2 linked regions of the Rhinolophus ferrumequinum genome follow. The main gene of each other region encodes a partner of the protein of the gene in region 2 in a complex. Links are inferred from orthologs where the notes say so. Each region holds a gene or a part of one and is shown on either strand. Other genes may lie near its edges.

Evidence for each region.
Region 1: the proteins of BMP10 (region 2) and ACVRL1 are in contact, whole or in part, in a crystal structure (PDB 6SF1), measured with the Homo sapiens proteins. The link is inferred for Rhinolophus ferrumequinum from reciprocal best matches to the Homo sapiens genes BMP10 and ACVRL1. Residues at the interface, in NP_055297.1 of Homo sapiens: Tyr322, Asn357, Tyr358, Pro359, Ala361, Glu362, His363, Pro366, Thr367, Lys368, Ile371, Leu375, Leu378, Lys379, Ser381, Lys386; in NP_000011.2 of Homo sapiens: His40, Val54, Val56, Arg57, Glu58, Glu59, His66, Gly70, Asn71, Leu72, His73, Glu75, Leu76, Phe84, Val85, His87.

The regions. Positions count from the first base shown.
Region 1 is NC_046293.1:52,139,394-52,143,478, reverse strand, and holds the start of ACVRL1 (serine/threonine-protein kinase receptor R3), read right to left. Parts: upstream 3,173-4,085; 5' UTR 2,885-3,172; coding exon 2,836-2,884; intron 181-2,835; exon of another isoform or gene 60-180; intron 1-59. UniProt on the Homo sapiens protein: Type I receptor for TGF-beta family ligands BMP9/GDF2 and BMP10 and important regulator of normal blood vessel development. On ligand binding, forms a receptor complex consisting of two type II and two type I transmembrane serine/threonine kinases.
Region 2 is NC_046296.1:21,838,297-21,842,381, reverse strand, and holds the start of BMP10 (bone morphogenetic protein 10), read right to left. Parts: upstream 2,631-4,085; 5' UTR 2,472-2,630; coding exon 2,138-2,471; intron 1-2,137. UniProt on the Homo sapiens protein: Required for maintaining the proliferative activity of embryonic cardiomyocytes by preventing premature activation of the negative cell cycle regulator CDKN1C/p57KIP and maintaining the required expression levels of cardiogenic factors such as MEF2C and NKX2-5.

The DNA of each region.
Region 1 (4,085 bases), on a different chromosome or scaffold from region 2:
GATGGGAAGGGGGCACCGAGGGAAGGACAAGAGAAAAGGGTTTAGAGAAGGGAAGTTACCTGTCCTTCCCCACCTTCGACCCGGGTTCCTGGCCTAGGAATCTCACAGCAACAAGGGCAGAGTTTGGGGCTGTCGGGGTCCGGAAGCATTCTGGCCCCTCCCTCAGGGACTCCCCACTCGGTCCAAATCGTTCAGCCTCCTCTCTTCGGCCCCATCACCCACTCTTGTCCCCTCCCCTCTTCCGCAGCCTCTCTGCTTAGCTCAGGGTAAACAGGCCCAGATGGGGCGGCTCCGGGTAGGTGGTGAAGACGGTCTGAGCCCCTCCAGCCGGCTGGCCGCAGTGCAGCCAGTGACAAGGACCCCTCTCCCCACCGGGGCAGCCAGGATGGAGGAAGAGGCTGGGACCTTTTTGGACTGCTCCCTTGGAGGCAGGTCTCTCACCCCACCAAATGGAGCTTTAAAGATGGGTCTGGAGCCTTCCTCCACGTACTGCTCTGACAACGAGGTGGACAAGGCATTTGGGAGGGGAGCAGAATGGCTTCTCTCCCAGGGAGAAATAAACTCTTCTTCCTGATGCCCTCACTCAGGCTCAGAGCACTTCCATCGTTGTCTTGCTTTGCTCCAACCACTGCGAGCACCCTGAAGGCAGGACTCCAGTTTTATTCCCACGCTTCTGGTTATTCACCAAGACTGTAGTCTGGGAATCCAGACTAAGTTACATAATCTTAGAAAAGTGACACCCCTCCATGCCTCAGTCTCCCATCTGCTAAATGGGCATAATAAACAGTGCTCGCCTCATAGGGTTGGCTGATCTGATACTGGGTAGGCCCTCAATGAAAGTGTTTAAATTAATAAATGAAAAGGCTGAGGAGGGGGTGGCCTCAGTCAAGTAGAAAGACGTGGGTATTAGAAGCAAGAACAGACCTCTAAGTTGTCTTGCTTTAATATGGATATTCTGTGAGATGGGCCAGGGACCCTCGCCCTTTGACAGGAATAGAGACTGGGGGAGACAATGACTAAAGGCTCAGACATGCTTCAATTGTTGACTGACTTCACTTCCTTTGCTGAAACCCTCCCCACTCCCAAACCGGCAGCTGCTTCACAACTTGTGAGCATGTGAATTCCAGAACCAAGACACGCCCAAATTTCAGTGTCAGGGCAGAACTATGTTCCTGCAGCCAATAGGAAGTACTATGGGATTACGGTATCTGCTCTTGCAGATTATAGCGGCCACTTGGCACTCTATTAGCTGGAGAACTGGGAGTGTGGCCGCGTGTCCATCTTCCATAGCCACTCTTTCCCCTGCCCTGCTATGGCTTCAGAGAAACCTCTCCTAGCCCGAGCCTATGGATCTCTATCCTGGGAGGTGGAAGTGTGGGCTTCCCCAAGGGAAGCATTCAGTTTGAGACACACATTGAGAACAGAAACATCGAGATGGAGAAGAGCTGAGAGTCCCCAAGAGAGTCAGTGGGGGTGGGGGGTTTTATCAGGGAAGGGTTCATGAAACAGATACAAGCAGAGTACAATTTGCAGGAGGAAGACAGAGCCCAATGGGGTACGGGCTGTATGTCAATGCTGGAGTCTCCCCCACCTCCCTGGCGTTGAGCCCTCTGGACCCTGACTGGTGGGTGCTCTTTGGAGAGTCTTGTGAACCCCATGCCTTCCACAGCACGCAGAGAACCTGGGGAAGGCATCAGAGGAGGGACGGAGTTGGAGAGCGCCGTGGAGACTGAGCCCAATGAGGAAAGGAAAAAGGAATTACAGACTGTGTCCAAGTCTACAAGAATTAATTACTCAAAAGGACCAGCTGTTCCCCATAATCAGTGAGGACAGAACAAGAGGAAACAGGCCCAAAGGACTAAGATTTAAATTTAGATATTCAGAAGAATTTCCCAGCAGTATGGAGCAGAGGCCTGGAGATCCTGGGAAGGTTGTGTGGGTGAAATCTCAAGGAAAGTCTCAGCTATGGACGGCAGATGACCGGGAGTCTGGCATAAAGGCAAGGGAATGGACCACTTGACTTTTCAGAATCAGCTATGAATACTGAGTTCAAGCATCGCTCTTGCCACTGCAGCCGGGCCAGTTTCATGGTTGTTTAGACACACAGGGCCCCTCCCCACACTTGGTTTAAGGCTCTGTTGTTGCCGTCTTGAAATTCTTAATAATGTTTGAACAAAGATTTCAGCGTTTTCATTTTGTACTGGGCCCCACAAATTATGTAGCTGGTTCTACACCAGGCTAAGTAGGAATTAAAAGGGAGGAAAATTAACTGAGTGTGAGCTGGGCTTTGCTTCCTTTAAATTGTAGACTGGGAGATTTAGATCAGACATCCTAGGGATTTTTCAAATGTGAGAGACATAAAAACAATAGAACAGGGACCTGAGGGGGAAGAAATGTCGGTTTCCTTTAGGAAAGAAGTGAGGCAGATACCTATGAATTCTGTTTTCCATCTATTCGACACAGAGGAGAGAGTCTCAGCTGTGTGGGCTGGGTGCAGCCAAATTTTGCCTGAAGGAAGAGGAAGTGACCTCTCTAGGTCTCCTGTAGCTCATGGCAGAAGGCGTCACGGTGTCCTGCATTCCAGGCCTGGATCGCCTCTCTGGGCCGATATACATTGAGGTATATACTTGTAGACCAGATATGCCCAAAGGTCCTTTCCAGCTTTATGAGATCTTTGTCTCTAAAGTTCGGGAAACTACCTGGTCTCAGGCCCTGTCACCACAGTTCAGGTAAAAAGGCAATTTGGCTAGTGTCAAGGTTTGGGGATGGTGGGGACAGCCCAGCACCTTAGGAAGAGGCTGGCAGACAGGGACCAGATTGTCCAAGCCAAGTCACCTGACTCTTCCTCTCCAGCTCCTCCAGGATGTCTCCTAGTTGGTTTCATCCGCTCCTGGTCCGCCCCTGAGCCCTCGGATGACTCATCTCAGGATGGAACCTCTGAAGGAAGGGCTGGCATGTCAGGGCAGGAGTCTGAGATTAGACGGTGCCCACACAATGCCTCCGGGGGGGTTGGCATTCAGCCTGGGCTCTGATGAGAAGCTGCTCCAGGACCGCCTCCTCCCCGGCTGTCCAGTGACCTCGGATTGTTCTTTTTCACAGGCCTCCTCGAGGCTCTGACTCTCTTCCACCAAACTGGCCCCACCAAAGGAGGAAGAGGAGAGGGAGTGGAAAGATCCCAAGCTTGGAGTTGGAGTCACTGTGTGTGAGCCTCAGCTCCCACACCTGTAAGAAAGCGCTGTTAATTCCTTTTCTGTCAATTCTCAGAATAAAAGCAATATGTCCGTGAGAGTCCTCTCTACCAGTTTAAAAAACCACACAGACGTCCAGTTTGTTTTGAGGGAGCTAGGCCAAGCTATGGGATAGCAGAGAGCATAAATTGGGGAGTCTGGAAACGGGAGGCTTGGTTGTGTGACCGGGGCCTCTATTTTCTTACCTACTCAAAAATGGGTGCTAAATGTTTCCTCTTCTACTAATACCTGGGGGATTGTTATACAGATGAATGTGTAGCTCCTGCAGAGGACTTTGAAGTATGAGGCAGCCATTCTAAAAAAAATTCAAGACATCCCTAATAAGCACGGGGTAAAATAAATAAATACAATTCTGCAGACAAGTTTATAACGAGAGGTAACTGTACCCACCCCCAGGCCCTTTTGCGGAGGCCAGACCCCTTCTCAAAGTTTCAGCTATTCATTTCTCTGACATTTATTTCGATAACTCTAAATAATATGTTTACAATGCTATAGCTAGGTTTTGTTCAGATTTATTGAGGTATAATTGACAAATAAAACTGTAGATAAAGTGTACTCATAATGATTTGATAAACATACATTGTGATAAGATTCCTCCCACCTCATTAACACATCCATCATCTCACATATTTATCTTTTTTTTGTGTGTGTGAGAACATTTAAATTCTACTCTCTTAGCTAACTTCAATTATACAATACATTATCAACTATAGTCACCATACATTTACATTAGATCTTCAGACTTTATTCATCTTATAGCTGAAAGTTTGTCCACGTTTACCAACCTCTCTATTTTCCTTACCCCCCAGTCCCTGGCAACCACATTTTTACTGTTTC
Region 2 (4,085 bases):
TTGCTTGACTCATGAGAAAAGTGCAGAATAAAAGCTCACTGTAGTGAGAAGAAGGGATCCCAAAGGAGTATAAGGCAACTTTTGGTGGTGATGAATATGGTCGCCATCCTGATTCTAGTATGGTTTCAGTGGCTGTTTACATATGTCAAAACCTAAATCGCACACTATAAATATGTGCAATTCATTGTATGTCAATTATACTTTGATAAAGCTGTTTAAAATAAGTTCACTGTGCATGTTCAAATGTGGTAGCTAATAGACAGAGGAGATGCATTTCTGAACAACTTTCATGTGCCAGGTGCTCTGCAAACGTTGTTTTATTTAGCTCTTACAATGTCCCTACAATGCAGGTATTGCTACTCTGTTCATTTTACCCCAGAAGAAATTGAACCTCAACGCATAAAATTGACTTCCCCCAGATGACAGCAGAGCAGTGGTAGGAATAGAAGTCATGCTTTTTCCACCTTGGAAGTGGCAAGTGTTTTCCTCTGATTAGCTAGGTTTGGAGGGCTTGGGGGTTTGTTTTGTTTTATTGGTCTGACTCCTAGGAGGCTGCACTGAGCAAACCTAAGAGAGACAATAGTAGCCAACAGTGCAGGATTTGTGTCCTGAGGGGCTGAGCATTTTCACCCATGGGGGAGAGGGGGGCTTGGATTGTCCACAGACAGATGTTACTGCCCTTGCTGATCTCTAGTAACTCTGTAAACCCCACTTTCTGACCTGGAGCATCCAAATCCTCCCAGGGAGAAGTAGGAACTGAAAAACTCCTCTTTTCCAGGGAATGTGAGAATTTTCCCACTCACCTTGAGCCAGGCACTAGGGCTCAGCTCAGCGCTCAGAGTGTTAGGAAGGAAGGGTTCCCACACGGAGGAGGCTGTTCATTTTCTATTCAGACCCACCTCCAAAGGACTCTGTAATGCCAGCTTCCCATTTCCATTATGTTACTAAAGCACATAGCCAATATGTTACTAAATATTAGATATTTTGATTGTCAACTAAATTTTTAAGGCGAATGGTATCTGTAGGACTGAGCGATACCTACTCACCATTTTCTCTAATGCCTACAATGTAGGCAATTCATTAGTAATAACTGATGTTTGTTCCACTTTTCATAGCAAATGGAACGTTTCTTACTCATAACCTCTTTTAAATTGCTCAATTGTGTGTACAGTATATTATCCCCAGTTTACAGATGAGGAAATTGAGGTTCAGAGAAATTACCTGCAACTGCTAAGTCAACCTGCTCTCAAAATTCCAAACCCTGAGCTATTTCTTTGCCACTACCTTACTCGTTTAAGAATATCTGGCCAATATCGATCGAAATCCTTTTTTGTACCTGGTTAATGATTATAAAAGCATAATTGGGAAATAGTTTTTCTGAACCCAAAGCTTTTACCATAGATATTAGATGGGTTTTTGTTGTTGTTTTTAGCCACTGAATAAAGATCTGAGAGGAAAAAAAAACACACTTTTCCCGCTGATATTTAAAGCTTGTGCATTACTCTTCATAAGACACAGAAACAAGCTGGATAATTAACTGGGCCATGTACACTTCCTGGAAACTATAAACAGTGTTTCAAGTCATATCAAATGCAGCAAAACTTTAGGAAGAATCTCTAAAATACAAGTTTCCTTCCTGTTTGAACAGTTCTTAAATAAGGTCACAAAATGGAAACTCATCCAAAGTTTCAGCAGAACACAAATCACAACTTTCTTTTTGTGTGTGTGTGTATTTTCATTTTAAGTAAAAGTTGAAAATTTTTTGTCAATCAAAAGCCACGTGGAAACTGAAAAATATAAAGGTATAGTAGTAGACCAACATTAAGTTTTTTGTATTACTTGCTGTCCAAATTTTAAAAATTTAAAGACTCAGTTACAATGTCAAAATGGTACACACTTCATCATGGCTTTGGATTAAAAGATATCCTTTAATACCTCTTAATACAATTTGGAAAATAAGCATAAAAATGATATAGACCCTAATGTGCATTGTTTTGTGTATCTGTCTACACACACCCTCATATAAATGTATTTACCTTGATGGTCTACATTACTCCCATACATTGTAAATTTACTTATCCCTTCTTGGAAAAAAAAAAAATCCCAGCCAAATTTCACCAGTAAAATGTAAACTTACCTTCATTCTTGAAACTCCTAATGATGTTGGCAGATGGCATAGAGGTCCGGTCTGTTGCAAATTTGTTGTAGAGTTCCAGCATGTACTCTGGTGGGTCCACCTTGGCTGAATCCTGCATAGGGATGTCAGACAGGTTCAATGTCTTGAGAAACTCATCCTTCATGCTCTGCAGCAGTGTGTCAAAGTCAACACCGTCTTGCTCTGAGAAGACATCATCGAAGAGGGGCATATCTTCTTCCAGAGGCGACTGCTCCAGGCTCATGATGGGGCTACCAGAAACAGAGTGAGCCACCAGGCAGAGGAGAGCACACAGCTGCAGGGCCAGAGAACCCATGACTCTGCTCCAGCCCCCAGGCCAACCCAGGAAGGTTTAGCTCTCCAAGGCTCTAAGTGGCAGTTTTATCTTGCAGAGCGTAAATGTCTCCTGTCACTGGAGACAAGTTTGGAAACCCTTCCCCTCTCTCTCCCGCCCCCTACCATTCTTCCTCTTCCCCCAAAAGTCAGGTTGCAGTAATTGGATAACAAAATCCCCTATAGGGGCCTAGCCTTTCTTATCTCTCTAGTGTAAACTTGTGCACTAGATTTTGTTGCTATCTCCGAATCCCTTTTTCTTTTAATGAGCATTTTGTAAACATTTCCACATTCTGACACTGGCTGAGAGATAGGACAATTTTCTCCTTGCAAAGGCTCTGCTTTTCTTCCTTTCAATTCACTTCCTTTTGGCAGGAATGCCTAAATTCTGCTTTTACGCTACTCGGTTTCACACATGCCTATAACAGATATTAAGAATCAACACAATACACATCAATGGCGACACGTATTCATTTGAGTGATGGGGTTCCTTCCTCCCGTACAATTTCTGAAGAAAGATCAAATATCCAACATCTCCAAGTTAAGTTAATGGATATAAATGAATTTACATATTTTTTTACAATCTTACATTTTGTAGCAATAGGAAAGTGTAAACTTCGTGGTCAATAGCCTTTTTTGTAGAGATTTGATTAGGCCGAAATAGCTTTTGAAAAATACGGAGAGTGCTTCATTACAAAAGCAACTAAAATTTATTGGGTGTTTTCCTACAAACAGGCATCGTGCTAAGTGCTTGATATATACTACCTAACGTGTTCCATGTAATAACCTTACTATTAGCCCCACTGCCTATACGGATCACTAAGGTTCAACAGCTTGTCAGAGGTCACAAAGCTACAAAGCGATAGAGCCATCATTTGAACCTAAGCAGTCTGACTTTCATGAACAAGAAAACAATCAGCCTTCTTAACTAGTATTCCCCTAAACTGGGACATGAGCAGTGACGCTGAAAGGCTAACTAAGCCCCAGCCCAGCCTTTCCCCAGGGAGTCCACAGTCAGGAGGCAAGCAACAATTTGCAAGTTCTTCACCCAGGCAATGAATTATTAAGATGATCAAATTCTCTGCCAAATCTATCTTCATAGCTAAATCGAATTGATCATTTCATGGCTCCAGTAAAAGCTTGGAGTACAACATTATGAGGCAAACAAAAAATGCCAGAGGCCTTAGTCTGAAAAACAATGGTAGAATTAACTGTGTGTCTGGTTTAGGAAAAACCATCAAGTTCATCTCACTTTCCACCCCAATTAGTGGTAGTAGCAGCGTGATGCAGTCAGGATGGTCCTGTGGACAACTGGGTTGGGAGAGGGGGGCGGTGCTCTTGCCACTGAGGCAGTGGGACTGGTGTCTCCCTGATGTGCTCAGAGCAGTCCCTGTGTGATGACTCAGGGCCCCCGACACTGTGTGCAGAAGGCTTTACACTTGTACACGAGAATACTCTCTTAGTTTCTGAGTTAAATTTTCTGCATTTACCCCAATACATTAGCTACAGTATCTCCACTTTTTTCTCTAGGCTCCCTAAGGTTTATAGTCGTCTTTGGATTCTTTTTTCTCCCAAAGTGCAAAATTTTACAGCAACA